Linked DNA regions of Oryzias latipes. The protein of the gene in region 1 purifies or fractionates together with the protein of each later gene. This does not show direct contact. Links are inferred from orthologs where the notes say so. Each region holds a gene or a part of one and is shown in the gene's direction. Other genes may lie near its edges.

Region 1 (15,765 bases):
ACTTGGTTTTCAGAAACTCTGACCTGCTAAAAGCTATGATCCCCTTTCTTCAGATATTTTTACACACAAATAATTTGCAGAAGATAGAGCCATGCAAGTAAATTTCTCTAAAACTGATCATTTTAAAATTTTACTGAGCACAACGCTGACTGTTTTCTGGGTTTTGTTAAATGCATTTAAAGACTAGTGATGCTTTTGGATGCTCTGCAGAAATCCTGTGCAGGAAGCGCGTTGCTGCCCTCTGGTGGTGAATCTCAAATACCGACACACACAGGACAAAATAACTGATTTAAAAAACCAGCAGTGTCACTCAAGTCCTGCTCTTCTTTATTTATTATATGTAAGGTTTTCACAATATTGTTATTCACTGATAAAATGAGTTAAAGTGCTTTTTAAAGTGAGCGGCCCAGAGGAACGTCAAATCGGTGTTTTGTTTGCTTTAACACAAGCATCAGTTTTCCTGATGCTGGTTTTTAGGAGCGACTGCTGTCAGTCCAGCCATGTTGGACCCCGTTGTGTGGGGGAGGACGTTTTAACCGAGGAAGGACGTGTCACGTGTCCTGCAGCTCCCACCGATGCCGAGATGTTCCTGAATGCATGTCGGGAAACGAGGAACCTGAAAACCTCGTCTGGACAGGATGGCACACTTGTAAAAAATGTTGGTTTCAACCTGGCTGAAGTTGAGGTTCTGCTGGGTCCAGAACTTGTGGTTCCAGTCCTCCGTCTCCTGCCTCAGGTTTCTCAGCCTCTTTTCCAGCTCCGACTCCTCCTCAGGGATGCGGTAGATGATCGGCCGCAGGTTGGACAGCGGGTTCGGGGGGCCGATCCAGTCATGTGTAGAGCTGGGCTCCGGTCTCAAAGGTGTCCGCTGAAAAATGGAAATATGAACAATAATTAAACGTATTTACTAAGAACAGATGGACTGCAAACCGCAGTCCCATGCCCACATCCTAATGTTTGCAGCATTTGTCCAAAGATGGACTTTACAAGTGACCAAAAAAATGTAAAAAAAAAAAAGAAAATAAAACACCAGAAAAAGGTGTTCGTTTAACCCTGGAGAACCCAGCAACCATTTTTTTTTCAGGGCTTTTAAAGGTAATTAAGCAAATTTGATTTTGTTTCTTCATTTTGGAAAGCAGCAATTAACAGCAACCAAAAAAAACTTCAAATGAAAACCTAAAAATAAAGGAAAAACTAGAGAGAAAAAGAAATAAATAAAAACCATAGAGCTAAAGTTGATCCTGTGGATTCCCCCAGAGTTAAAAACACAGAGACAAGTCAAAAAGATAACTAACAATGAATTAATTTGTCCCACCAGATCGATCTGTCTGAGCCAAGAGGGTAATCAATTCCAATTGACCTCTACCATTAAAAAAATCGTTAAAATCGATTATATTGATCTTGGAAAATACCATTTAGATTGAGGTACAGTAGGTTTATTTGACTATAAGGTCAAACCGCCCAATCACAGCAACACACATGTGATGTCATTAACACGGATCAGTCCATCATTCCAGTCCAATGTGTGGACAGACTTTGAATAAAGTCATGCGACCATCCAGTGTCTAGAATGTTCTAAGAATGTTCCCTTTGGATTCTTTGGATGTGGAAAAACAACAGTGGAGAACTTTAGGAGAAGATCAACCAACAACTGTTTGCTTTTTTCAGGAAACTCTTTTTCAAAGAGGGCCAACTATTCAATGCATTAAAAGCAAATAAACTATGAACATTATTATGGCAATTGGACTCTTCCTATTTCTTCACATAAAAGAGAATTCTATCTAAATACATTTGTACATGAATTTCTGATTAGAAGGCCAGACTTAAAATCCAGAATAGGTCTGCAGCTTTGATGGCCCTTTGGAGCCAGCGCAGTCTGAGGGTTTTTGATGGGACGGCCCCCCAGGCATGATGCAGAGGGAACCAGAGGACTCCAGAAAACCCATTTTAACCGGGCCAAAGCATGTGAACGCATCTAAGAATAACCAACAGAATCCATCAGACTCTGGCGCTTCAGGTTCCTACGGTTTGGGGCTGAGGTGGGTCAGCAGGAGGCCCTGCAGGAGGGCAGCAGGAGGGATGCAGGAGGCCCTGCAGGAGGGATGCAGGAGGCCCTGCAGTCTAACTGGAGGCATCTGCTTATCAGTGCAGAGCAGACGGCAGCAGGAGAAGAGCACGGAGGAGAGCAGGCATGAGGAGAGCAGGGAGGAGGAAGACTCCATCCAGGACCCAGAGGCCTGAAAAAAGGTGCGTTATGACATCACTACCTTCAGCTGCAGAAGTCTTTGGACTTTCTTCATCATTACGGTTACATTTACTACAGTGAATCAGAAACATTAGCCCAAACAAACCCACTGACAGCTGTTACAGATGGGTTCTACTGGTGTCTTTTGATTCTCGCAGCCTTTCTGTGAGGATCTAGAGCCGTTAAATGAAACTTCAGAACCAGATGACGTGAAAATCTCTCATGGTTGCTGATGAAAAGCCTGTCCGTTAGGCCTAAGCAGCACTAAACATAGAAGGAGTTGGTTAAAGCCATGTTTAGTTCAGCCAGTCAGTAACCTGCAGGTCAATTAGACTTTTTGGCTGTGCAGACCTAGTGCGCATGCGTCGTTATCTTGGTTTTCACAGCAGGATCAGAACCTCAGCGTTTCTGATTCCTCCGGTAATGTGAGCACGGAGCCTGGGATAAAAACACCAACGCGGAACGGACTGCGGCGGCGCGCGCACCTTGGCGGCTTTATCCTGTTGGCTCGTTGGATTATTAGAGCCGTTGCGCCGGATGTTTACATCCAGCAGTTGCACGCGGGAGTTCCGCGCGCTCCTCCACGACAAGCGTCCAGCTGCCCCGAATGTCATTCCCGCAAAATCAAGGCACTGTCACGCAGAAAAGCTAAACACGCAACGGTGGCGAACAACCCATGTCTCCCAACTGTATGTCCTTCCGCGAGGATGTAGGACAGGTGGTCACGTGAGCTGCAAAAAACGGCTAGAGACGCTCGGAAACAGCACCTTCGCAAGCCGTTAGTCAAGTCTCTGCCCGACGGGTTCGGAGCAGATGAGGTTTCAAACTAAACTCTAAATAAAACATATTTCTAGAAAGATACTGTCAAAACTTTTCATCGCAAAAGCTTCAAGTACCAAAGCTACAAACTACGTTTTGAGTACGTTATTTAAAAACACTGCTATATTTATGTTTTATCAGAAGCGATAACGAAATAAAACATAAACAAAACGGGTCGAGTTTGTCTCCGCACAGAGTTGGTGATTAAATGGAGCGCACTCGCTGTTGGCCGACAACAACCTTCCCTGCGTCTGAACTGATAAAAGCTTCATTATTAAACGAGATAATGACCAACAAGATTAACCAAAGTGTTAGGAATGTGTACAGATATAGTTGTAGCTGTTGGTTACACTCAGAGATTGAAATATTGATTAAAATACGAAGTGGGAGGGTAGATTCAGCGAAACAATCGAACTCCGTGAAACTATAGTGGCGAGGCTGAGACGGGAAAGTAAGTCCGTGAAGGTGCAGCTAGGCGGGCTAATGTTGATCTTCAACAGAAGGTTTGGGGCTTTTCCTTCGCAGCGGGGTACATGGCTGTTCGCTGGTTATGCAGGTAAGACTGGGGCGGTTCAACGGCGGGTAGATGCCGGCGTAAAGCCGCAGTTTATGCGGTCAAGGTGGGGCAGAGTCAGTCAGGTGATCACCGACAGCTCACAACGGTGTTAACGGGCTGGAAAAAGACCCGGTGGTGGGATTTCATCTTTCGAAGTCAAATATCTGCGCGTGTAGGTCAAGTGTTTGGGGTTTTTTTTATTTTAAAAGAAGGGGGGGGGGGGGGGGGACAAAACCATGTTTGCAGACGTAGTGGCTTAGAGGTGGGAGGGGCGACAGCCGCCGGACTGCAGGCGGGCGGGCAGAGTCTGTCTGCTGGTCGCCGGAGCATCGCGACACCTCCGCGGGCTCCTGTCTGCGCACGCGGCTGCTCCCCAGCTTCGCCGGCCGCCTGCTTTCTGCTGATGGAAACAGACATCTCTCAGAATGTGCGCGAACGTGTTCGGAGTCCTGAAGAGGTGAGGCGGCGTCAGGGCGGGGCGGGGGGGCTGGTTCGGCTTCACGCTCGTCCGCCCGCAGAGCCAGCGGCCACGCAGGGTTTCCCGCGGGGGACTAGCGTTGGCGGGGCGGCTGTTGAACCGCGTCCGGTTCGGGTTCCGAACGGCCGCGTGCGCCTCAGAGGCCCTCTCTGGCTGCTGTAACCAAACGGAGGCGCGCGCTGATTGGCCGTCCGCGCGGGGACTGGACTCCGATTATCCTAATAAATGCTGAGATTTGGCAGCTTTCCCCTCTGGAAATGTCCAGCCCTCTTACATAAACCCGCTTTAGAGGAGGCCCAGCATAATCTGGTTTTGTTAATACGCGTTATTGTTGCCGCGGGAGGAAAAGGTTGCGGCCGCTTCGCTTGTGTGCAGCAGTGATGCTCGCGCGTGTCCGTGCATGTGGTGGAAAACCTGACATCTAATCTATTGAGCTGTTTTCTCCTCATCAGAGGGAATCCAGAACCTCAAATGCATGAGGCCAGAGTCAGAGGACTGCATGTGGGTCTCATTCTGGGGGGAAACTCCTCAGGATGGATGGTTTTACATTTCCATTCAGCTCAAATGCCCTCGTGTACCGTGAAGGTCAGAGGTCACCGACCTGAGGCTCCTGCATCCTCCACTCTGGCTCTTTAGCTGTGAAGAAAGATGCTAATGAGTTGAATAAATAACAGTTTTGGTCCATTTAGTCAATTTTTTCGTCATTTCGGTTTAGTCTTTAATATGTGTAGTAAAGTGTAGACGATTGTCAAAGTTGTTTATTGTTAGAATAAACTTGAAGCCCATTTTCTGATCTTCTGCTGCACAGTGGTTGCAGATCAAATTCTTAAAGGATAGAACTGCATTTACATGTATAGATTTAAATAAAAGAATTCTTCACCAATCCTGTCATATTTATATTTAATGACGAAAGGGGGAAAAAGATGATGGTGCCCTAAAATCATGGTGATAGAAAAGATCATGTTTGATTTGACTTTCTTGTTCTGTTTTTTTTTTTATTCCACTGAATCATGTTGCAGCAGGAAGATCTCTTTTATAACACAGGGTGTATTTTATTTTGAAGGGAACTTGCATGTGCTGCTGTCCAACAGAAGCAAAAAAAAAATAATGTCCACGTTTGTAGAACATTATTATTGGAAATATTTCAAAGCTGCAGTTTATACATGAATGGCTTAATGGTCATAAATAAAATGTCGTTTTGGGTTTCGGTCTGTAAGAAACCGGTCCAAATGGCTCTTTTAGGGTCAAAGGTCACAGACCCCAGGATCTATCTTCAGCTAAATATTCCACTAAAGCCATGCTTTGTAAGTGTTGAGGAGCTTTCATACTCGGCTTGGTGCATTGCTGACCGTACCATTCTGCCGCAGCAGACGAAGCAACGCTTGTCTGTCTTCGTCATCGTCTTCGCGGCTGCAGCTTTGGCCTAAACGGAGACGTTAAAAGGCGAGGAGACGGCTCTCACGCGGTTCTCTTCTGTCGGTGAGCGTCTACAGACGTGTACCAGCAGCTCACGTCTGTATGTTGGGAAGCCTCGTTCTGCCACTTGATCATCATCCTTTTCTGCTTCTCAGTCAATGTTGTTCTCGCTTTTGTGTGGAAAGACGGAACTCCTCGCTCCATCATTTTAAAGTTGATTGATCTGGTCCAAGCACCTAAAATAAAGAAGACCAACTACCTTCTCTAAAGCTGACGTTTAGACTGTTGTCCTCTCCGTTTTTTGGAGCAGCTCTTTGCTTTGACACAACTGACGGACCTGTCTCAGTCGAAAACAGACAGTTACACCAATAAAATCACGAATCCCTACTTTCTGCTTGCTACTCGCTAGCGGTCACATGTTTGAGAACACCCACTAGTTCAAGGTGGTCCGGTTCAGGTGAAAGCCTGCGGTGGAACAACAGGAAGCGGTTTAAAGTAAAGCTGAAGTGTAAACATTTTAGAAGGACAAAAAGATCCTTTGGTTGGAACAAGCTACTGATGAAGACTTTAAGCAGCTCTGGAGCCACCGTGATGCCAAACGCTCATGAGCAACAGCAATGTTCAGCTGAAATAAGTGGGTCGTTTAAAAAAAAAAAAAGGGAATTCTTAATGAAACAGAGCATCCAAACACTGAAAAATGTGGGTCCTGCTAGCTGAGAGGGAGGGTAAAGGGAGTCGATGAGGACCGCTTCCTTTCCCGCCAAGAGTCTCCGCTGCAAGCCCCGCCCCCAGGCTGACACACACACACTTTCTCCGTGGAGCTAGCATTTTTTTTGCGCGAAGCGCAGACACGCTGGCGAGGCCGGCCTTATGACGACGTCATGAAATGGGCGGCACCCCCAATGAGAGAGAGGCGGAGCCTCAGAGATCGGTCGTCTTACTTCAGAGTAGGAAAATGAGCTGTGAGAAAACTCCTATCTCCTAAAAATGGTTCTTTAGTGTGCCAAAGGTCATATATGATCTCATATGATGTAGTTTACTCTGACAGGATCAAGAATAACCCGGTTTAGACCTTTTAGCACATCTGCTAAAGAATGCCTCCACTGTGTGGGACCATGTCAAACATGGAGGAGTAGGTGTGATGATGTGGGGCTGATTAGCTGTGGTTGTGAAGTAGCTGCAGAGCAAAGACCAAAGTAGTAAACATGGAGGGGCCAGAACCGTCTCTAGACTTAAACCTCTCTGAACTGGTTTGGGATGAACCGGACAGAACGGTGAAGGCAAAGCAAACTAAGGAAGGATTTTTCTTTTCATTTCTATCTGTTCATCTTTGAAATCAAAGTTGATTTTAGTCTGTTTGAAACTCATATGTATTTTTTACTCTCCTCTGATTGCAGAGTAAAAAGCCATGACAGTAAATAGGAAACTGGACGTATTAGAGTGTTGCAAAACGTTGCTTCGGGGCTGTTTTTGCTGCTGCCGGCCACCAACGGCTTATTGATCTGATTTCCTTTGTGTTTTCTCCAGCTTGTTTGGGAAGCCCTTTGATGGAGGGAAAAGGATGGACCATGGCGGCCCGCCGGAGCCGCAGCAGCAGCCGTACTATTCCCAGCACCCTGCCATGATGAAGCTGTACGAGGTCCAGAAAGAGGTGCAGTCGTCTCTGGGGCCTCAGGTCTGCACCTTCAGTGGCCTCCAGAACGACCGGGAATACAAGCGTTTGGAGCGGGAGCTGACCCGCCTGCTGTTGGAGGTGGACCAGGTTGACACAGAGGGCAAACCGGATCTGCAAGGGACGAGAAAGAGGGCTGCGCAGGAGGTGGAGGGTCTTCTGCGCTACCTGGAAGAGAACGCCACCCACCCGTCCCGTCTGGCCATCGAGGAGCTGAGCAACGCTGCGCGGCAGCTGGTTGAGGAGCGCGTGGTGGCCCCTCAGCGGGCTGGCGGCGTCTCCGAGATCACAGATGAGCTGGTCGATGCTCTCCAAGAGCTGGTGCTGAGACTCACCCAGATCAAAACGGAGGGGCGAGTGCCGCTTCGCAAAGCTCGCTACAGGGCGCTCACGCGCCTGTGCGCCGTGCAGGATGTGCTGGAAAGCCGCACGCAGCATCAGACCCTGCCCCTGCCGCTGTCGGGGGAAACCCACGAGGCGGTGCACTGCATCAACCAGGTGATGGTGAAGGTGAGCGTTGCTCGCAGTCAGCTCGTGGCTCTGCTGATGGGGCTGAGTGGGCGGGACAGCTGTGCCCACCTGTCGCGCATCTTGACGGAGCTGCAGGTGGAGCTGGACGCTCTGGACGTCTCCGGAAACGCCGCGATCAGAAATTACAGGAAGCAGGTTGTGGAGGAAATAAATGGACTTCTGAAACATCTGGACCTGGAGGGAGAGGGAGAAGACACGCGCAGGTGAGCATTCCACAAAACCCTACGGAATAAGTGTCCACCGTTAGGGGAGTCCCTGGAAGATAGAAAACACCCTGATGAGGAACCATCGCTCTAGTTCTGCTAATCCAGAGTTCTTCATCGTGCAGAACGTTCACAAATGTGGGATGGATCTCATCGTCTGCAGGGACTCTGCTGCTGCTGCAGGGTTTAAAGAAAATAAGGTTTCTGGGATCTTAACATGTTCTTGTGCCATTTTTTTGTTCTGATTGGGGACAAATATAAAGAAAATTAAGCGGAAATTGGCATTTCTGAATATTTGTTTATTAGGTGCCACAGTCAGCCGACCGCAGTCTCCTGGCTCCGCCCCTTTCTGATCACCCACCTGCAGACAGACAGATCCATGAACGTCTTTTTTTTCCCGGTCTGAGCCTGAATCTGGATCAGAACTGGACGGATGGATAGCTATGATGTTGATCGCCACTAATGTTAGGTTGGGGTTGTGAGGGGCTGTGTGCTAACAGGAAAGCGTGTAAACAAAGGGATGATGGGAAATGAGGATAGGCTTACTCCATGCCAACAACTCAGAGGTGAATTTCTGATGAACTCCTGCCGCTCTGCAGAAACTGTCCTAGAAAACAGCAGGGTTTTCTTTCCTCCCAATTTTGGATAAAAATGACATCATCATAATGAAAAGACTGCTGGGAACACTTAGAAAATAGATCAGAAGATGATCGGAGTGGGACTTTAACCACCTCCACCAGAACATAGTCGCCAATTCTGAGCTGGCTGACACAAACCAGAGCCACAGTATGATCGTCCAGTCGCTCTACAACATGTAGACGACAAGCGTGGTCGTCCTCCTTCAGCTTGATGACATCTGTCAGTTCATGCAACTATCCATAGATGATGAAGGAACCCTGGAGGACTTCATCCCACCTAGATGTTGAGAGGCCGTGATGGCTGCATGTTATGTCGATGATGTTGTCCTCTGTCTTCAAACAAAGACGTGGTCCTTCCCAGCAGCCTCAGGGTTTTGAGAGTTAAGGTCAAACTAAAGCCGTGTTTCCACTGAGCGGTCGGGTTTCAATGGTCCAGGCCGTTCGGGTGAGCCTCGGGTCGTCACGCTAACAACAACAGAGGAGGTCATCCAGCCGCTCATCCTTGGTTCTTTTGTATCTACAAAGCAGTTAATGTTGTGAGAGAGAAGATCGCGGGCGGCGAAGAGGTTGGCGCTGGTTTGACGACCCACAGCCAGACAATGGTTTCAGAAGCTCCGCCCTAACCCAAAATGTTATGGGTCGGTCTGATGGCTCCATTTTATAATGGAAAGGCTGAAAATACTGGACCGGCCCGCTCAGTGGAAACCGGGCTTATATGTTGTCAGAGTTGCTGCAGACTCTCATCGTTGGGGTTTTGTGTCCCTGCAGGTACGATTTGGCGCAGAACAACTCCATCCGTGAGATAGAGGCTGTGCGGGCTCACGTCTCCCACTTGCGAGAGGGGGTCCTGCGACACTGTGCCATGGGAGACCTCGGGTTCAGACCCAAAGCTGAACTGCAGAGCCTTCTCACACACCTGGACCAAGTGGACACGGCCAAGAACCCCTGCATCCGGGAGGCCCGGCGGCGCGCTGTGGTGGAGGTCCAGGCTATCATCACTTTCCTGGACCTGCGCGAGGCTTTAGCTTGCCGCCTCACCGGCCCTGACGAGCATCCGTCCCATCGCGCCGTGTGGCTGGTCCTGGGGAGCCTCTCTGACCTCCAGGCGCAGGTGCTGGGCTTCGACGGCAAGAGGGCCGACAAGAGCTACATGATCCTAGAGGAGATGCTGACCAAGCAGCTGCTGGCGCTGGACGCCGTGGACGCACAGGGCGACGAGATGACCAAAGCGGCGCGGAAACAGGCGGTGAAGTTCGCCCAGAACATTCTCAACTACCTGGACATGAAGACGGACGAGTGGGAGTATTGATCCGGTGCCGGGGGGGCGTGGCTGCGGGAGGGAAAGCAGCTGTTTGTAAATAAAAATAGTAGATTTCACGTAGTGTCTAAAATCCCCAGAATGCACTGCTGCAGCGCTTTCCTTTCATCCTCGTGTGACCATGGCCAGCACGGGACTTGTTTTGTGAAGCGCTGGGTGGCGCTTTTGTGCGCTTGTGTTGTGTGTGGTTGTTGAAAACCTGCTGACTGACAGACGGAAGGCTGGCGGTTCCTCCGCAGATGTCCTGTGGCGTGCGCTGCAGGTGGCGGCGGCGTACGCTCAGCTCAGAGGACAGCGGTCCGCTGGCCTCTGGAGAAGGGGTTCGGGTTTGTGACTGATCACAGACTCCATTTGCCCCTCAGTTTCCTCCAGGTACCCGGCTATTCTTTTTAGGAGCAGATGGCGGTTTGTTAGTGTGAATTAAGGGATTTGTCCTGCTTTGTATGATCACACCAGTCTATAAATGGACGGGCTTTGAATCCAGAGAGGCGGAGGAAGCGAGGCGGCGTTGCTGCTTCTCTCATCACAGTCCCTGCAGGAAGCAGCAGAGAGGGCAGCGCTGATCTCCTCTGAACTGACGTATCCAGGCTGAAGCTCCCGCAGCCGACAGGCCGGTCCTGTGGAGGGAGGTGCTGATGGGGATCACAGCTGACAGGAAGTGCTAGAGCTGGGAGATCGTGGGAGGGGAGGGAGGTCCTGAAATGGGAATCTCGGTGCCTTTATTTTGGTTTCTTTTGCTTTGCGTCCATGCGCAGCGGAGAGGCCGCTTTGCTCGTCATCTGCACAGGAAATTAGCCGCTGTCTGGAGCAGAGGCTGCTCCTCCTTCCTGTGGCGAGGTCGTGGTGGGTCATTAGTAGCTGAAGTGACGCTCATCAGGAACAGCGTGACTCCCGGCGCTCTGACACGGCGCCGACGCCAGCGGGAAACGTCAGACCTTTAGTCAGAAACGCAGAACAGACCCTTCTTCCTCACCCTGACCTCTGTGGCTGAGGCGGGTCTCAAAAGGTCTCCTGCTACCGGACCAGAAAGATGTGAGCAGCTCAGAGGTGACGGTGCTGCTCTGCTGTTTTTGGCAGGACTCTCCAGAGTCCGTCCCTGAACGTTCTTCTGCTGTCGGACGGAATCAGAAGCAGCGCTTTGCTGCCGCACACAGAAAAGTCGGTGACGTTTCCCAACCGCTCTCGGATAACGCTTCCCCTTAGTGCAGACTCTCAGAAGAGGATTCCTCCAATGACAACTCCAAACTATCAACACCTTCTAGCAGTTTAGTGGAATTTTTGGGCTTTTCTGATCATTTTAAATGCATTCGAATGAATACATTTATCAAGCACTGTGGTAAAACCATCAGTTGTGGAAATCAAGTGAGTTTTTGACAGATTCAGTTTTATTTCTTCAGCCCTAAATTCCAACAATGGGCTTCATAATTCTAAAGGATCATGAAGTCAGTCATTAAATATCTTAGGTAACTGCTAAACTACAGTCAACTGGGCCTCCAGAAAACAGATTCTGGGACAAACAGAAGAAACCTCAGGGTGTCACCATGAATATGGACTCTGACTCCTGAAGGTGCGAGCGCTTTTCCGGCGTCCTGCCGCTCTGCCCGCCGTGTGGCCGCCACGCTTTCCTGCTGAGCTGAATGAAGGACTTGCTGCTGCTGCTCATGTCTGACCGGGAAGAATGTCCTGACACACGACCGTGTGTGCCGCATCAGAACGTCCAGGCCGGGGGTCAGCAGACTGGATGCTGGACTCTAACAGTTGGCTTTACCGTTTTCTGTAATTGACTTTTACCCACAAAGCTCCACATCAGTTTGTTTGTGTGGTCATCTAAGCGTTTGGCACATTGAAATCTTAATATTTTGGGGGGGAATGACTGAAAGACTTCGTTCCTCCTGTTTTTTATTTTTTTATCTGGGTGTTTTTCCAATCCTCTGGTTTCATAGAGTTGACTCAGCAGCTGCTGCTTCTGATCCTTTTTTTTTTTGTGTTATCTTCTTCTGAAACGAGTGTAACGTGAAGGACGGGCCTTCAGGAGCGGCTGGTAGAAACGAAGGTCCAGTGAAATCGGCAGGTGATTCCCACAGGTGAGCTGAAGGTTCAACTGACACACACAGACTGACTGAGCTTACGTTTACTGTTACTTCATATATTTATGATGCTCATGTTGGTGGTATTTATACAGATTGTGGTTTCAGAGCAAACAGAACTCACTTCCTCACCCAGACTGCAGAGTTTCTCCACAGCTCGCTGTTGCCGGGCAGATTTGACCTCGGGACAGTTGAGTCCATTAGACCTTGTGCTATCTTGTGGGGTCCAGATGACCCCACTCCCAATCTGAACGTGGTTGGAGGCAGTAGAAGGAGCCGATGGGCCTTCACAGGACATGAATGGAGTCCTTCCAGAAGGTCTGTCTGCGTAGCAAAGTGAGCTGAGATGAAAACTCAGAGGTGAAAAGAGACGAGGCTTTGGCAGATTGGGATTCTGTCGTCTGGAGGACAGGAGACGAGCCGACGCCTACAGATGGTTTGGTGACCTTCTCCCAGACTTCTCATGTCATGCGTTGTTACACGAGCAACACAAACATGAACGGTGGAAAAAGAACACGTGTGTGAGGTTTGTGTCACTTCCAGATGTGGGATTTTCTGGGTTTTTCTTCAGGTGGGGGTTTGATTCCTGGCCGCAAAGCCCCACATGAAAAGCCTGGAAATGTTTGAGTTGGTCCCTCTGCTTCATTAAATATTGTACAGAAGGAGCCGGATGGTTGCAAACCTCCTTCCTTCAAACCGTGTTGTGTTCCCAGCATTCATTGCATCTTTCTTCATCCCCGTCCGTCTGCGGCCTGCAGAGTTTTCTCGCCGTGGGCAGGTGGAGGTGTCACCACTATGTTTGACGCTCCAATCGAGAATTGGACTTCTGCTTGTTGTTTTTTGTTGCCTTGCTTCTGCTGACAGGAATGTGTTTTATCTGAGCTGGATTTATTTTCTCAAGTCGCCTTCAGCTGCACTGATTGTGATGTTTATCTGAGACGCGCTTGTACAAAAGCCCCCCATGCTCCGTGTTGTGTGAAAGCCTCATGGTCGGCTGTCTGTGGACTCGCTGTTCCCACTGCAAAATAAAGACGGCGTCTTGTTTTATGTGCAGTCTTCGTGTTGTTTTTTCTTCCTTGTGGACCCAGAGGCGTTCTCGAAGCTGTAATGGTGAATTTTAGAGCCAGGCCATTTCAGGTAAGCATGAGACGAGGGATAAAAGGTTTGTTCCTGATGGAGATGTGCATTAAACTTTTATCGTCCTTGCTGGAGGACACATGGCTGCTCCAGCAACCATTTGGTTTGTGCTGCATCTGGTCTGACTGAGACCTTAGTCCACAAAACTCTGAGTCCCGGGTGGAATTCAGTGATGGGATTCTGAAGTCTGTTACGTATTTTTTCCCAGCTTCTCTTCTGAGAATATTTTTAAATAAATAAAATACAGTTTGTTCCACTCATGAGCTAAATGAGCCAAAAACGTGTAACATCCTATGAAGCTTCTTCATCGACTCTCCTCCTCTCCCTCTGGCTGCACTTCTCCCTTTCTGCCGCTAGGTGTCACTAGTGAAACCATGAGGCGGTCCAGCAGCATGTTTGCCTTTTGGCCTCCACCACAGGAGCAGACGTGGATGGATGGACTTTATTATTTATCTTTCAACACAGCAGAACAATTTCAAATTCATAAGTACATGTAAAAAAATCTCAGACTATACTTTCCACAGACAGTTTCAAACATCTAATAAGATGGTATTCCTGGCCAACGGGGTTCTCCTGCCTAATGGCAACAAAGGGAAGAAGTGATGGAGAGGATAAGTGACGTCCTCCTCATTACCGATCGCCTGTTCAGGTCACTGAGAGGACCCAAACATTTGGTGGCCATCCATCCGTCCAGGACCAGGTGTGGGGGGCAGCAGTAAAAGCAAAAAAGCCCAGACTTCCCTCGCCCTGACCACTTCCTCCAGCTCCTCTGGGGGGACCCAAAGGCTTTTGGCCTGGGTCTTCCCCGACGCCTCCGCCCAGTGGAACACCTCCCCATGGAGGCGTCCGGATTAGATGCTCGAGCCACCTCAACTGGCTCCTCTGGATGTGGAGGAGAAGCGGTTCTACTCCGAGCTCTCTACGGGTTCACCCCCCATCTATAAGAGATTTTTTACGATGTGGGCGGTCGCCCAGGGCGGCACTGCATAGGGGGCGGCATTTGCCGTGCCCGATGCGTAATGTGGTAATGTGGTACATACGGTACATACTATATTCAACGAGGTAGCTTGAAGCTTTTAAGTTGAAATTGCTTCAGTAGCCGACACTTAATGCTTTTATTTTGACACATCAGACTCTTAATAATGTTTTCCTCCTATTTCCTCTTCACACTTATGGTGCAAAAAAAAAAAAAAAAAAGAATAATTCAGAGTGAAACAACGTAAAACAGGCAAATGAAAAGGATTTAGGCATAACAAACATTCGTTTTTTTTTTTTTTTTTATTTATAGAACACAATACAAAACAATACCAGAACATTTACATAAAATTACAAAATATGGCGAATACAAAAGAGAATACTATAATTGGAAAGGAAGCAAAAAGAAGAAAAATTCTTATCAGTATGCAAACATAAACCTATTTATATTCATAATCATAGAGAAATCAGGGAAAAGTATAACATAAGAGAACAACAATTTCAGAGTTGGATAGTGTTGCAAAAAGCAGGGGGATACAAAATATAAATAAACTGTCTTAGACATCAGGAATATCACTCAGGGTGTCATAAATTGTTATGGCTTTAGGTGAGTCGATTAACTTTATGGATTTTAAGTATAAATTGACCTCATTATTAAAGAAGCTAAAGCTGGGGTGGCATTTCTGTAACCTATTTTTGTGTATAAAAAACTTGGCTAAACATAACACAGTATTGATACATACATTATTTACATTGTTGTGTAGTGACAGGCCAAAGATTATGATTTCTTTGGAAAAGAAGTCCATGATGAATGGAAATTTATGTCTTAACCATTTGTAAACATCCAACCAAAACACTTGTACAACATTACACAGGAAAAATATGTGGTCGATGTCTTCTCCGCAGTTTGGCAGAAGGAACAGCTGTTGTCATCAATGTTGAAACGTAATCTAAGTAGTTCTTTGGAAGGATAAATATCATTCATAATTTTTAAGTGTGTTTCTTTAACTTTTGGGGGAATAGGAAGTTTCAAGAAATCGGTTCTTAATTTAAGAACAACATTTCGTTCAAATTTCTGCAGTATATTATTTTTGTTCTGTCGACCAGGAAAAAACCTTTCAATGAACCAATTTCTGATAAATGAGTTATTACATTTTCTGTCCATTAGAGGGCATCCTTCAATTGACAATGTGGCTAACTATGGTTTTATCCTTAAATGTGTCATTGTGTTCCTTGTTAGAAATACAAATTCTCGAGGAAGAGAATTGCGTACTTTTAAAAATTCTGAAATAGGAGGATTAAAGTTATGTCTTAAACAAAATTGCTCATAATCTAATAAATTTCCTTCCGTATCCATCAGATCAGACACCGACCAGACACCTCTGTCAAACCATTCAGCAAAAAACAAAGATTTGTTTCTGTGGAGGATGTATCTGTTGTTCCAAATGATATTTGAGTGTGGCGAGAAATTATGCACATACAAGATTTTCCAGTATAGCAGAATTTGTTTGTGGAACTCTGATAATGCTATAGGGAGCTTATTAATGTCAAAATCACTAATAAGCACCAACTTTAACCCGCCTAATTTGTTAAATAAATAATTTGGGACACAAAACCAGAAGGATTGGTTGTGTTTGATCCACGATTTCAACCAGTTTATTTTCAGGGTCCCGTTAAGACAGTCAAAATC
Region 2 (16,250 bases), on another chromosome or scaffold:
ACCTGCATCCTGGGATTCAGTGGATGAACATTTTAACAAAAAATTAAAGTCAGCCATTGATCCTGTAGCTCCACTTATAACAAAAACTAAAGCTACAGCACCCTGGAGGAAGGAAACAATCAGACCATGAAACGTGAATGCAGGAGGGCAGAGAGGAGGTGGAGGAAAACTAAATTAACTGAACATGAAGAAATGTTTAAAGAACAACAAACAATTTACAGTCATGCAATAAAAAAGCTAGAATCTCCCCCTCCTCCGACTTGATTGTACACAATGAAAATGACCCTAAAGTTCTTTTTGAAACAACAGATATTCTTACAAAAAGAGACTCTCAAAGGTCCTCCACAGCAGCATCGGATGCTACATGTGATAGTTTGCAGACCACTTCAGGAGTAAAATAAATGCTATAAGATCCAGTCTCTTAACTCAAAAAGGTGTTGCTTTGAATGAATCTCTGGCATTTTATTTACCAGAGGAAACACTAGAGAGTTTTGTTCTGGTTGATGCCGTGGTACTTGGTCAAGTGTTCTCCCAGTTAAAGCCAACCACCTGCCTTTTAGACCCAATCCCCACATCACTGTTAAAAACACTTGACGACTTCTTTGAGTTTGAGCTTTTAAACATTGTAAATTACTCTCTTCAGACAGGTGTCTTCCCTGCTGCCTTTAAAACGGCAGTGGTGAGGCCTCTTCTGAAGAAGAGTAATTTAGATCCAAGCAACTATCACAGTTATCGTCCAGTATCCAACTTACCGTTTTGAAGTAAAATGATTGAAAAACACAGTTCCAATCCAGTTTAATGAGTTTTTAAATAGAAATAACATCTTTGAAATGTATCAATGTGGTTTTAGGAGAAGCCACAGCACAGAGACAGCCCTTAATAAAAAAGTATTAGATGTAACCTGGACTGTCAGACACTCTCAGTCCTGGTACTACTGGATCTGACTGCTGCATTTGACACAGTAGATCACAGTATTTTACTCAACAGGCTGAGAGGTTTGAGCATCTCTGGTACCGCACTAAAGTGGTTTTACTCCCATCTCACAGATCGCAGATTATGGATACATCCTCTTCAAAGGTCTTTGAAATCAACTGTGGAGTCCCCCAAGGTTCATTGTTTCTTGATGATGAAGAGTCCGTCAACATTCTTTTAAATTGCATTTTAGAAATGCAGTCATGAATGGCAGAAATCTTCTTACAGTTTAACCAGGACAAAACAGAGGTGTCAGTCATCAGTTCTGAGGGAGACTGTTTAATCTAAACTAAAAAATGACAAAAATTCTTCTTTTTTTTCTTTTTTTTTAACTTATGTCCAACAGCTCAGCAAACAGATTAGAGCTGAAGGCCTTTTGTGTTGGACAGGTTTTACTATCACAAAAAGAGGTTATATAACTTCAAAAAACCAGAGTGTAAATTTGTATAAACCCCTTTTTGTTACTTTTTTATTTCTTTGTTACGTTTAGTGTGTGTGGGGAGGGAGAGAGGAAGAGTGTGAGGGGGGTGGAAGAGAATAAAAGGAGGAGAGGTGGAGAATGTGGGGGATACAATCGCTGATTTGAATAAGTCACTATTTTAAGCTGTGTAACAATTATACCAGATCTGCTGGAAAGGCAAATATAACATCAAAGGTGAAATTCTGACACGAAGATGAGCGGAAGGTGTCTGTCCATCAATACATTGTGGGTTAGGAGGAGGGATAAAGCCAACGGGGAGCAGTGTGGTGACATGACAAAAATGACAAAACTTCTCAGTGTGTGAGAAACCTGGGAGTTATTTTCGACTCTGAGATCAATTTTATACCACAAATTGAAAATACAACAAAGACAGGATTTTATCATCTTAAAAATGTTGCCAGAGTCCGCCCATTTCTCTCTCTTGCCAGCACAGAGGTTCTAATGCATGCTTTTATTTCAAGCAAATTAGTTTATTGCAATGCCCTCCTCTCATGTCAAACTCAGCCGCATGCGTGTTGACGAGGATCAGGGGGCAGGAACACATTACACCGATTTTAAAATCGCTGCATTGCTCGTTGTGCGATTCCGGATCAATTATAAAGTTCTCTTATTGGTTTATAAATGTTTTTATGGTCCTGCTTTTCAAAACTGCATTTTTCTTTCAACATTTCAAAACGAGTAACCTTGCCATCTTTAATCAAACCTCCAAATTAGTAACCCTTTGGCAGAACAATATTTAGAATGAAAATCCAATTTAGTTGGAGCAAAATTAGAATCGTGGGCATACCGTTTGAATAATGAGCGTTCTGGTTTTAATTCTTTAACTACGTTTTTCCATAAAGAGAGTGTACACTTAAACCATGGATTACAGACATTGTCAATTTGTTTTTGGGTATTTGAGTCCACCAGGACTGTTTGTATGGGAATAGTGAGTATATTCTCCAACATGTCTTTCCATTTAGCTTTATAGTTCACATCACACCAGTTAATCACCGTCTTCATTTGAGCTGCCCGAAAATAATCCTTTAGAGAAGGCAGGCTCCATCCTCCTTCATTTTTATGTAATTGAAGCGTTTTAAGGCGAATCTGGGTCTTTTACCTCCCCATATGAATCATAAAATGATTTTGTCCCATTTATTAAATTGGTTTTGAGGGATATGTATTGGTAGCGTCTGGAAAAGGTAAAGTAGTCTCGGTAGAATATTCATTTTGATGGATTCAATTCGGGAAAATAAAGTGAAAAAGGGGATCAAGTTCCAACGTTTTACATCCTCAACTATCTTTTTTTGTAATGGGATGTGATTTTCCTCATATAATTTGGTCAGGTTTTTGGGTATGTTTACACCTAAATATTTTATTGATTTTGTCAGCCATATCATCGGTTATTGCATCGCCAAAACTGCTGGTGGGCAGCAGTTGTAAGCAAGTATTTGAGTTTTATCCATATTCATTTTATACCCAGATAGGTTTCCACATTTTCTGCACAGATTCATCAGTTCAGGTAAAGATTTTGTAGGTTTTTATATATTAAAATACAAATATATTAAAATACAATCTGAGTAACACGCAAGTTTGTGTTCCTGTCCTTGAATATTTACTCCTTTGATGTCTTTGCTTTGTCTATTTGATTGTGCCAGCGGCTCTAAATATGAGGCAAATAAAAGTGGAGACCAGGCACAACCTTGTTTATTTCCTCTCTGGATTGTAAAGCTGTTTGAGAGATAACCATTAACTTTAACTCTTGCTGTGGGATTGGCATACAGAGCCTTCACTGTTTCAACAACTGTGTTATGCAATCCAAATTTAGTCAATGCTTTATACAGAAAATCCCAATTTACTGAGTCAAATGCCTTTTCCGCGTCTATAGCTTTATTTTTAGATGTTTTATCTGCTCTATTATATTATAATATCTTGTGTCTGCCTGTTTCTTATGAATCCAGTCTGGTCGTTACATATCGGACTGGGTAAAGATTCCTCCATTCACCTGGCCATAATTGAGCTAAACAGCCTGTAATCTATATTAAGGACAGAGATCGGTCTATATGAGCCACACTCAGATGGCAGAAATAATGGTTTCATTCCAACTTGGTAGTATTTGTGATTTCTTTAACACCCAGTTAAATGCAAGAAGCATTAAAGGGGCCAACTCATCTTTAAACTCCTTATACCACTCTGCCGTAAAGCCATCAGAATCCGGTGACATTGGTTTTCAAACAACTTATGGCTTTCCTGAGTTCCATTCATGTGACCTCTGCTGTCATTTTCTTATTTTGTTGATCGTTCAGAGTTGGTAGGTTTATGGAATTAAGAAAATCAATCTCGTCCTCAGTCCTACCAGGTACTTTGGAGTACAATTGTTTGTAAAATGCTTCAAATGCTCCATGCATCTCACTTTACTTGGTTATAATGTTTCAAGTTTCTGGATGTTTGATTTTGCTAACAGTGCTGTCAGCAATTTTCTTTTTCAGTTTCCATGCTAAAATTTTCATTGATTTGGATCCACCTTCGTAGTAGTTCTGTTTCAAATACATTCTTTTTTTCTTTATGTCTTGCGTACTAAGATTAGTTATTTCATTTCTAACTTCTTTTAATTGTTTCAGCGTGCTTGTTAAAGGGTTTTTTTATGTTCACTTTCTAATTGTGTCAACTTCTTTTGTAATTCTTCAGCCTTTCTATTACGTGTTTTCTTCCTATGGGAGGCGATTGATATAATTTTCCCTCTTCTGACAGCTTTTAATGTGTCCCATAGTATTGAAAATGACACTTCTCCATTATCATTTGATTTAAGAAAATCTGTCATTTCTTTTATCATTATTTTTTAAATATTTATGTCTTTGAGCAAGGATGAATTTAATTTCCAAGTGGATAATTTTGGGCATGTGTTTAAATGAATAGTTAGATATAATGGTGCATGATCGCTTATGTCTATTCATCCCATTTCAAATCTTTGAATTCTATCTTTAACTTTCCCAAAAGTTAGGAAATAATCTGTTCTGGTATAAAGTTAGTGTGGGGCCGAGTAATGAGAGTAGTCTCTCCTTATAAGGAAAAGATCTCTCCATATGTCTATCAAACCAACCTTCTCTAAGATTGCAGACTTTTTAATATAAAGTATTTGGTTCTTGTAGTCACCCACTAGAACTATCCAAGTCAGGCCTTAGTCTGATGTTTAGGTCTGCACCACAAATCAATAGACATTGGGTTTCTGTTTCCAATTATGTTCATAATATTTTTAAAGAAACTCAAGTCGCTTCCTGGTGGTGCATATGCATTCACGAATGAGACTAGATTACCGTCTATCGTTCCCCGCACGAAAACAAACCTACCTTCTTTATCCTTAATCTCAAAAGACTTTTCAAAGTTTAAATTTTTTGAGATTAGGATTGCCACGCCTCGCCAGATTTGTATGAGGAGAAAAACATATTTGTAAAGCCCATTTTCTTTCATTTTTAATGTTCCCTATCATTTATGTGGGTTTCTTATAAATACACCACTTGTGCTTGCTCTTTCTTCATCTTAGTTTGCACTCTGCTACGCTTATTAGGATTTGTGAGTCCATTAACATTAAAATAAATAACTTTAATACCTTTCATCACTCTGGAAAAAAATGCACGTTTCAAAATATAGATAACTTATTGACTGTTCAACTCTCATAATGAACAAGAACAAAGAACAGTAGTAACAACGTGATTCCAAGGTTGGGGTCTTTCCTGTCAGACCCTGACAGATGTTGTGCAAGTCCAGGGGGAGACCTTTCCTCCGGGAGTAAGGGCCCCTGATCATGTTTTTAATACTCGTTTCTCCGTTGCCTCTCTTCTTGGATACATTCAACTGCTGGGGGAAAAGTACTCACAGACCTTAACAGGACAGTTTGTCCTTATTGATCCTCTGCAGAAGGGGGGGACGCCTCCCAAAGACACGAAGCTTCTTGCGGATGATTTCCTCTCGGTGCTCCTCTGTGCATCACACTGGTTTTATGCATATTTTTTGTGCAGTGTCTTGCTTTTTGTTTTTATAAATCAATTAGGTTTTTTATGTAAAGCACTTTGAGTAACACAAGTTGGAAAAGTGCTATCCAAAAAAAGTTAGATTTGATTTGATTTGATATATGCAAGCGTGGCTTTTCTGGTAAGTTATCTAAGGGTTGATTTGATTTTTATTCTTTTGCACAATTAAAAGGGACCGCCAAAAAAACTGTAGGCTTATGGCTTTCATCTATACATTTGCACAAAGATGATAAATAGCTTAGAAGAACAGATGTAAATAAAATACAGAAAATAATACACTGATAGTTTATCAGACGTTCATCACAAGGTTCATCACAACATAACAAGATACACGTGGATTACATTTTACAATGCACAGTTTAAATGTTTATAGGCATTTTTTATTAAATGTTAGATAGTAACATCTTGTTGGGGCACTTGGGGTTCTGGGATATTGGGGATTTTTTATTTTCTAACTTTATTATAAATGTCAGTTTCAGTTCAAAACTATTATTATACATTGTAAATCAATACAAACATATCAATAATATAAAATAAATCACAATAAAATAAACAACATAAGGAGCCAGGGGTAGGAACAAACAGACAAAATCACACAATGAGTATATAGAAGTAAGAATGAAAAAACATTGCAGAATTGGAATTTGAATATTTTCTAGCTTTTTTGTTGTTTGAAAAATGAAAAGTTTCAATATAGTTTGACCTCCACTAAAGTTAAGAAAACGTTGGAATTTTGTTAGAAAATTTGCATTAATGAAAGTAAAATTTAGCCAGGAAGATGAATGTATTTCTTAAAAATCGGATTGGCATATTCCTGTGATGGCGGAAGCCAAACAACACAAGCAGATTTGTAACAAAAGAAATCACAGAAAATTTGCCCAGAAGATTGAGTAAAGGGGGCAATGCTAAAATAGATGAGTAACTGTTTCAGGTGAAAGTTTACCAAAGGTATACATTTTGTCCATATGGGGTTGTGGGGGATGTGGGGTGTCCTGCCTTGGTTTTCTATTGTGATGTCAAGAAGATAAAGCAGGTCTTTTTTTGTTCACTTTTCACCTGTGCGGGGTGTAAAGGGCCCCTTTATAGAGGATGACGAGCTTCATCAGCATTTGCTTTCCAGAAAGAGCCGCTCAATTCCAGATCAACTTCCGTCTCTCAAATAGAGTCCACCGGAAATACACTGTCAAAATAAAAGTGATTTGATGGACGAAAGCGTCACAGTCGGGAGCGGTCCGAGCGGACACGTCCAATTCAACAAACTGTTATTAAAACTGTTTCTCTCTATGAATGAAAGAAAGTGACATTTCTGCAAACTAATGAATTAGAAGGTTTTATGTATAATGTATTGAAATGTTTTATTTTTTTATTTAAAAAAACGAATTAAACATATTGAAACAGTTTTAAAAAGTGAAAAAAAATATATATGAGTATAAATTTACATTTTCAACATTTTAGTACGCAGTTAAAGTCCGAGCTAACGGCTAACAGGAATCACCGGAAATGGGATGTCGTGGTTCACGTGCAGCTTGACTTTGGCGCTGTGGATGCAGGGAGGGCAGCCGTGTCTATTTAAAGAGGGTCGTCCAGTCGCGGATAAATAACAGAGGGTCCATGACGTTGACTCAAGCGCCCCCAAATGCCCCTCATCTCGCGCTCCGTCTCTGCCCTGCGCTGATTTAACGTCGACACTTTGGCTGTGAAGAGCATCGATCATCATCGAGCCGGGCCAGAAGCAACTGCTCTGCGGGGCGATTCCGATTTTTATTTGATATTTCTGTGTGATTTTTGTTTGTTTCCTTTTTTAAAAGATGGGTAAAGATTATTATAAGACGCTGGGGATCTCTAAAGGAGCCACGGACGAGGATATCAAGAAAGCTTACAGAAAACAAGCGCTGAAATGGCATCCGGACAAAAACAAGTCTGCAAACGCCGATGAGAAATTTAAGGAGGTCGCTGAAGCCTACGAAGTCCTGAGCGACCCTAAGAAAAGGGACATTTATGATCAGTATGGAGAGGAAGGTAACGTTCACGCCGTTTATCGCCCTTTCTCCCTCTGAGTTGCCAGATTGGCCCCCAAATCCCCCCTTCAGGTCATGGTGATGCATGTGGATGGCTGGGCCAAAAGCACAGTTGGCTTCAGTTCGAGTCCCTCAGTGTCAGGGGAAATCCAGAAAACAGCTGTTCGGCAGACCACTGTACCACAGCTCTCTGCAGTTATTGAGGGTTTGGCTTCATGCTTCTTATTTTTTTAAATATAAAAACGACCCACAGCTGAGTTCTGCACCCATTTTTGAAGCATGAAGTGCTTTATTCTTGTCCCTATTCTTTAACTATGACTTTTTTCATATTTTATCACTTTAATATTTTATTTTCACTTTTATTTTATTACGTCAAAGGGTGATGACAAACCGCTGATTATCTGTGAAAATCAGGTATGGATGCTGACACTGAAGAACTAATCTGCCTGAGTCAGAAGATGAGTCATGTCTTTAATGGGTCTGGAAATGTCTTTCCATCATTAATGAGTGACATTCCACCATTTTCACTAGAATCATATCAGCATCACACGATTTACACTCAAGTTACCTTTACAGGCCACATTTTTAGCCTCAATAGATGGTTTTGAAATGCACCATCTGCATCCCTTTAAGAAAGGAATGCTTTTCCACTATTGCCATGGTTACCACAGAAGTGTGGATGGAGGAAGAAGAGCAACCTACTGTGTGGTTTTGACACCATCACCTTTCAAAGATCCACAGAAATGCTTTTAGATGTGTGGGATTCAGGATGAAGGCAGGATTAAATGTAGCCAAATCTATAGTTTCTTTAAGTATTTTTTATTTTATAACCCTTGTGCTATCTTCTTGCGCTGAGCAAGCCAATACCTGTCTTTTGGGGTCCAGATGACTGAACCTTTTTTCTTCTTTTGTGATCTTCACTGGTGTCCATGGATTACATGAAATCCTTCCACCTTTATCCACCTTTGTCATAGTAGGGAGAACATGTCAATTAGGGTGGGGTCATCTGGACCCCACAGGATAGCATAAGGGTTACTGGGATTAACGATGTAAAGTTGGTTACAATCTAAAGACCGTGTCATACAGCCGCTACATACTTTTTCCTGATTTTCCTCGTATGAAATTTCGGTCTTTCGTGACACATTCAGGACATTCGTCATTCATAAGTGCTTCTTGCGTTCGTCGATGTGCATAGATGTCCGTCGGTTTCAGCTGACGGTCTTTGGGTGAATTTGGTTTTGAGCTATTCAAAATTTTCGGGCGGTTGAGATTTACACTGTTTGGCGTATACTTACATAGAATGGCGTATACTTATATAGTGCTTTCTACCTTCTTTCAAAGGCCCAAAGCGCTTAACAGTCACAGTCCCATTCACCCATGCTCACACACACATTCACACACTGGCACCAACCTCCCACCAGAGGCAAGGTGGGGTTCAGTGTCTTGCCCAAGGACACTTCGACTCATGGGCGTGCAAGGCGGGAATCGAACGCGGAATATTACAATTATGGGTCGACCGCCCTACCGCTGCACCACGGCCGCCCATTTACTGTTGTTTAATTATTACGCAAATCTTACGCAATTGTGCGTGATTTTTGCGAGATGCATATGCAAATTTGTGTCTTTCCACAACCGTTCCACGAATGTCTAACAGATTTTTCACGCATGAACCACCGATGTGTAACTTTCATATTGCGTGTATGGCGCACATTTCATGTTAAAAATATGTAATTGACACATGAATTTTGGGCCAGGTTTGGCTTTTACGTCGATTTTACGTGTTATTTGCGTGGTTCATTCGTACTCCCTCTTCGGTTTTAGGGTGATTCATTTTTGATACATCTGTGAAAATTTCACATAAAGACCACAACTTTCTCAATCTTTTCACGTATGACCAATTTTCATCCGTGCAATATGCGAGAAAAAACTGTGACACGGCCGCAAGAATTTTCTCAGATTTTGTTTTGTTTCAAAGGCCCTCACTTTATGATCAACCTGGCAGGAGAAAAAGGTGTTTAAGTGGGTGAAGAGGTCTAGTCTTCCCCTTATATATCTAAGACTGTATTCAGACTGGACATTTGGTTCGCTTAAAGTGAACCAGAGTTTGTTTCCCCCGAAAATCCAGAATAAATTTTCATTATGGTCATACCCAACCGGCCCCTGGTCCGGGAGCAGAAACCGCTCTCGGACCCATCTCTCAAGGTGGTCAAAACAGGAAAGTACAGTAGACGGCAGTCTGAATACAGACTAAGTGCAAACTTCAGGGCTCGATCTGGACCAATGGACTTTTTTCAGTCTGAACACACCGTCAAAGTCCAAGTCATTGTTGTTTTCCATTAAACTTACCGTAGGATAATTGATCATAGTTTAACCTCTGAGAAAAGACATATCTTTCAGCATATTTTACCATCAGAGGTATCATCGATCTACTGTTAACTTCATAAAGTGAAACCGTCTGAGAGATCCAAAGCTTTACTCCTCCTCACCAACTTTATTGGAGACTGCAGATCTTCTTTGGAGAAAAACTGTACTAGAAGTCCGGATCACATGACTAAGCTCTCAGATAAATGGTAAATGACAAGCAAACACAAGACACATTTTCAAATGTGAAAAAACTGTCAGAACAACAGTTTTTTTCCTGTAATTTTGTAATTTAACAGAGCTGCTCGTGGATTTGTTGCATTCAGTTCGTTGCATCCTCACATTTACAGCCTGTTGTTGCATTGTGACACATTATCTCCTCTGTGTCACGATACTGATGACTAACTTGTGTTGTCCATCAGGTCTGAAGGGTGGAAGTGCTCCGGCTGGCGATGGACAGGGCACCAACTTCACCTACACCTTCCATGGAGACCCTCATGCCACCTTTGCCACTTTTTTTGGTGGCTCCAACCCTTTCGAGATGTTCTTTGGGCGCAAAGCCAACGGACGAGACGACGAGGACATGGATGTGGATGGGAACGACCCCTTTGGCTCCTTCACCAGCTTCAACATGAACGGCTTCCCTCGGGACGGCCACGTGGGCCTTGGCGGGCAGCAGCGTCGGAAGCAAGACCCCCCCATCGTGCATGAACTGAGGGTCACCCTGGAAGAAGTCTTCCACGGCTGCACCAAGAGAATGAAAATCTCCCGCAAAAGGCTGAACCCAGACGGCAGGACCATGCGAACGGAGGATAAGATCCTCACCATTGAGATCAAGAGAGGCTGGAAGGAGGGGACAAAGATCACATTCCCACGGGAAGGCGACGAGTCGCCCAACACCATTCCCGCTGACATCGTCTTCGTCATCAAGGACAAACCTCACCCGCACTTCAGGCGAGAGGGCTCCAACATCGTGTATCCTGTTCGTGTGAGCTTAAGACAGGTGCGTTAGTTCTATTTCAGTCTGGTACATGGATTCGTCATATCGGCGAGTTTATGAGCAAGTTCACTTTGAGTGGAGAACAAAGCTCCAAGCTTTGGACGCCAAACAGCTGCGTTACAATCAATAAACCGGAGGAAGTCTACCTCAAACCCCGTACTGAATGAACATAGTGCTGATCTACACACAAACACTTATGCAACCGACATCATCCACATGGAGGAATGGGATCTTCACGACCCTTGCAAGGCGACGGTCGCCCACACGCAACATGTACTTTTCTGGTTCCTCCCACTCTCCTCGGCTCTCAGTGAGAAATTTCACAGCCTCGTCTCTGAATGTCTGATCGCCGCACGCTAACCACACAAGATCAGCCCATTCCCGCAGTGAAACACACCCAAAAAAACTATCCGTCACCATGACGGCAACGGTGAAACTGTAGACCGAGACGAGAGTTTCAGGTCGTTTCACTGTCAGAGGTTTTCCTTTGTTTTCCAAAAGTTTGAACCGGAATAAGAAACAGTTAAACTAAAAGATAAGGCAGTCTAGAGCAGACAAATGACCTGATGATGATTGTTGAGGTTAGTTTGAGCACAACAGTGCAAAGCGGTGTAGCCTCAAACTCTGACAGTCTCATCATCATCACACAGGTCAAGAGTGCAGCACTCACACTTGGACCTTTGTATCTAGACAAATGGAGGAGACAGATTCCATCAAGTTCTCGTGAGAAACAGCTCTCCACAAATAACATCTGATGATAAAGAAGCTTCAAGATGCTTGAGAAATGTCAGATCACAGCTTTGTCACAGTAACACTGCTGTAGCTCCAGATCAGTACAAGTAATTATACATTGCAAAAAAGTATAAAAGGAGACTATTAAATACATATCTGCTTTGTAATGGGTCTAAAGTGATTATGCTGTAGAAAAACTAAGTCATACCCTAACAGTTTCCTGCTAACGTCTAAAAACATGTCATCTATGAAGGCTTTCACCTTTCCATTGGACTGTGACACCTCAAACCCAACGCATGATTCGACTCCCCCATGATTATTTTAACCCACGCCCATCATCTAGAATGGAAGCCCCACTCCGATCATATTTTGATCTATTTTTAAAGCGTTCCCAGTGGTTTTTCAATGATGATTATGTGGTTTCTAGCCAAAATCTAAAAACCTGTATCATTTTCTAAGACATAGTTTCTGCAGAGTGGCAGGAGTTCATCTCTGATTGTGGGCAGGACTGCTGGGTGGAAGTAACCCTCCTCTTACATCCCATTATCCCTTTGTTTACACTCTCTCTCACTAGCTTACAGCCCCTCACACCCCCAAACTAACATTTGCGGTGCAACAAAAATGGCGAGCAATGTTGGAGCTATCGAGGCGTCCAGTTCAGATCCAGATTCCAGCTCAGACCAGGAAAACAATGATGCTCATGGATCTTTTGGACTGCAGGTGGATGATCAGAATGCAGCAGAGCAGGAAGACTTTGGTCCCCCCAATTTCTGTTGCTGTATCACAAACATAAGCTTTTTCAAACAGGGTTTTCCTCTGCTCCAGATTCGCAACAAATTCAACAAAGAAATACTCAGAAATGCAATTAATCTGAACTTTCTTTATATATGTCCTCCATCATCAGAAAATGCTACAATAGCATGAAAAAAAGCACAATTTTCATTGGTGTGTGGGTCTTTTAGGAGATGTGATGCAGACTTTAGAGAAAACTCACTCCATAAATAAACATACAGTTTCCTAAACACTTTACGTCACTGTAAAATAACACTTGGCCTTTAAAATATATTTTATATTTCAAGTGAAAAAGCTATTAGCAGATTTATTTTTTACATTTGATATACTGTAGTTTTTTAAATAAATCATTGTTTACACAGTTTCAGCTGATACAGAAGAACGTATAGTTTAGGGTCAAGACAATAGCTGAAGGTTTTATTCCGTGCATTTCAGTTCTCACCTGCAGACGACCACAGGCGTGTTTCTACTGTCTAACTGGGCGTCCTTTTGTTTACTTTGCAGTCCTTGTGTGGATGCTCGGTCACCGTGTCAACAATAGACGGGAAGACATGCAACATGAAAATCACGGATGTAATCAAGCCTGGCCTGAGAAAAACGGTGACGGGACAGGGTCTACCTTTGCCCAAAAACCCGGAGCAGAGGGGCGACCTGGTGGTGGAGTTTGACGTGAACTTTCCGGATGCGTTGCCTGGCAACGCCAAGGACGTCCTGAAGCGGCACTTGCCTGCTTAGTGCGAGGCAGCAGCATGACGGCGCTCAGACCCTGAGAGGAGACACAGCCGCTGGAGACCAGCTGTGACGGTACGCAGACGGACGCCCAACCGACGAATGTGCAATTTCTATTTTTGAGCTTTTCTAACTGTCACGCATGCTGCCAAACTGATACAAGTGCAATGAAAGACTGTCTGGACTGTTATGTACTGGGTTGGATGGAAGCTGGCTTTTGCCACAGTCACAGCAGATGACGTTTGGTTGCAAAAATATATTTGCCAAAAAAAATCTTACAGAACTCCTGGAAGAAATGTATTGCCAAATGAAACCTTGATTCTTATAGGTCTGACCTGATTCAGTGACCTGTGTGAAACTCTCTTTAGTGTTTTATTTTGATGGATTCTGAAGCTCTCTTAATATTTGTGTGCAAGATATCCAAGAGGTATATGGCTGTATGCAACAAGTGCATTGTAGGCAAAGACTTTCAAGGCCGTGTCACACAGCCACTGCGTACATTTTGCGCATTTTCTACGTGTGAAATTTGAGTCTTTCGTGATCCAGGCGTGATATCCATTCGTGTTTCTTGGGTTCGTCATTCATCGATGCACGCAGATGGTGTGGAATTATGCAGTTTACGCATATTTTACGTAGTTTAATTATTACGTGAAGCTTACACACTTACGCGTGGTTCGCAAATTTGTGTATTCCCACGACCGCTCCACGTATGTCTAACAGACTTTTCATGCATGTACAACTGACGTCTAACTTTCCTATCGCGTATACGGCGCACATTTCATGTTAAAATTATGTAATCGATGCACAAATCACTAATAAATTGCCATGTAAACAGCGCAATAATCTCACACGGTTCATGTTCTACGTTGATTTACGTGTTCTGGTCCAGATGACCCCACTCCCAATGTTAACGTTGGAGGTGGGGTCATCTAGACCCACTAGACAGTGCTCTGAACCTTTTTTCATCAATGATTTGTGATCTTCACTGGTGTCCATGGATTACATGAAGTCTTTTCACCTTTATCCACCTTTGTCATGGTAGGGAGAACACGTCAATGTAAGGGTGGGGTCATCTGGACCCCACTAGATAGCACAAGGGTTATTCAGTTACGACCAATTTTCCTCCGTACGCTGCAATATGTGCTAATTATACGTAGTGGCTGTGCGACACGACCTTTTTAGATGATTCTTTGTTGTTTCAGTTATGGAGTAGAAGCTTCTGCAGATTTCTCCTCCGTGAAATCAAGTGTGTATTAACTGTACTTGATTTAGCATTGCTCCTACTCTTTGTTTTATTGGTAGTCTGTGTAGCATTTCTCCAAAAAAGGAAAATGACTTCATGAAAACAGGTTCTTCACAGCAGCGGGAGAAAAGTAAATGATATCTATTTTGATAGCTTACTGTGAATATTTTGTTGTTGGTAACCAGATATGTACATTTTGGATATGCAAACATCAGAATAAAAAAACCCCCACTGTTTAAGGAAGAGCTATGATGACATAATTATGACTGTGTAAATATAGCTGCCAGCTCTAAGCTGCTTAGTGTCAGCCTCTGACACAGGAGGCCTCTGCCCCACCAGGGGACGCCACATCACCCATCGCAGTGTGGGGGTCTGGAGACGAACCCTGGAGGGGCTTTCTGTGAGCGATGCTCTCCAGTGCAGCCCTGAGAACGTCTTCTGCAATGTTTGCATCGCATGGTAACTGCATGCAATAAACGGAATCACTTTTTGGAATTGATCGTCAAGTTCTAATCAGTGGGTTTGGAAATGAAGAGTGGTAACTTCATTTTTTTGTTTTAGATGCATTAATTATTAAATTTAATCTAAAAACGTGGTGAACGGAAAATTCTGACGGTCTTAATCGTTTTAGCCAAAATGGAGAATTTTAAAAACTAACTAAATAAATAAAGGTAAGGGTCAAAAATATGCTGTTGAGTCAAAACTTCAGACTATAAAAGTGAAATTCTACAGTAAAAGTATAATATTCTGAACAAACCTTTGAGGGAAAAAAATAATTTTGTTCTAATTAAGTTGAAAAAATTAAGAATAAAGTAAAAATTCTGTGTTATATATTTTTATTTTGATAAGTCAGAAGTTCAATGCACTTTTTGTCTGAATCTGTTTATGGTGATGAGGCATTTATGCTGGGAAATAAGTCATTTTTGGCTTGTGCTGTTTTTGTCCACACGTTTGAAAAGCTGCGTTTAAAATAAAATAAAGCCAAGGCAGTTTTATAGACATTTTCAGAATAATTCTCCTAATTGACAGTAATTAAACAAGAGTCCTCCAAAGGGATATTTTTCACCGATGTGACAGGAAAGACATGGTTTGGATGCCGTTATTTGGTTCTGTTTAGATTCTGCAACACTTTATAGACACTTCATTGTGTTATGTGTTGTATAGATGTAGTGCTATTTGTTGTCTTTTGTTATCTGTTCTTTTATTAATATGATCTTGTTTTTTGAGCTGTGGTAAGAAATCCTTTTCCCTGTCTTGGGATCATTCAAAGTTCCATCTATATATCTATAAAATAAGCAACAGTTTGATTAAAGCTGCAAAAACTCGTTTTTGTAGCTCGAGAACTTTGATTGACCTTTTCTGGTCATAGTAATAATGGTTAGAGTCAAAACTCGCTAAATAGTTTGGTTGTTATATTTAAGTAACATGTTCAGTAAGTTGTGGGCGTTCATTTACATTTTCAGTAAAATACATTAAATTAAATGATACAAACTTCCTGAGTACGTCTTAAAAGGCTCCTGCTGCTACACTTGAAGTTTATTTGATGAAGTATACTTGAGTATAAGTAGAAAAAGTCTACTATAGACCATGTAGTTGGAAGTATTCTAACTAAATACTTCTTCAGACTACATTGGAACATTTTAAGTTTTACAATAGATACTAAATAAATAGTAGCCTTCAAGTGTACTACTTGTAGTAAGTACACTTGTAGTACTTTTTACTGAAGGTCCATTTGTTATAATGATCAACAAACAGATACAACATTTCAGGGAGCTTTATTATTATTTCCTCTGGATCTAACACCTGTTGTTGTTGTTGTTTGGACTTTGCCTCGCTGCGGGGGGGGGGCTCAGCAAAGGTGGGCGGCGCGCAGGTGCACGACGGCCCCTGATCCCGGCCCGTCCCACTGCGCCTG

What was found.
Region 2: the proteins of bag5 (region 1) and dnajb4 purify together in Homo sapiens (affinity purification with mass spectrometry; 4 studies listed by BioGRID and IntAct, with this or other methods). This does not show direct contact. The link is inferred for Oryzias latipes from reciprocal best matches to the Homo sapiens genes BAG5 and DNAJB4.

The regions. Positions count from the first base shown.
Region 1 is NC_019880.2:21,267,615-21,283,379, forward strand, and holds bag5 (BAG family molecular chaperone regulator 5), read left to right. Parts: upstream 1-1,552; 5' UTR 1,553-2,191; coding exon 2,192-2,247; intron 2,248-2,730; coding exon of another isoform or gene 2,731-2,859; exon of another isoform or gene 2,860-2,978; intron 2,979-3,113; exon of another isoform or gene 3,114-3,597; coding exon of another isoform or gene 3,598-3,620; intron 3,621-3,878; exon of another isoform or gene 3,879-4,045; coding exon of another isoform or gene 4,046-4,077; intron 4,078-7,041; coding exon 7,042-7,920; intron 7,921-9,326; coding exon 9,327-9,867; 3' UTR 9,868-13,011; downstream 13,012-15,765. Other genes in the region: apopt1 (apoptogenic protein 1, mitochondrial), read right to left, coding at 671-868, 2,731-2,859. UniProt on the Homo sapiens protein: Co-chaperone for HSP/HSP70 proteins. It functions as a nucleotide-exchange factor promoting the release of ADP from HSP70, thereby activating HSP70-mediated protein refolding.
Region 2 is NC_019875.2:4,278,061-4,294,310, forward strand, and holds dnajb4 (dnaJ homolog subfamily B member 4), read left to right. Parts: upstream 1-6,965; 5' UTR 6,966-7,268; coding exon 7,269-7,479; intron 7,480-10,261; coding exon 10,262-10,842; intron 10,843-12,867; coding exon 12,868-13,098; 3' UTR 13,099-13,365; downstream 13,366-16,250. UniProt on the Homo sapiens protein: Probable chaperone. Stimulates ATP hydrolysis and the folding of unfolded proteins mediated by HSPA1A/B (in vitro).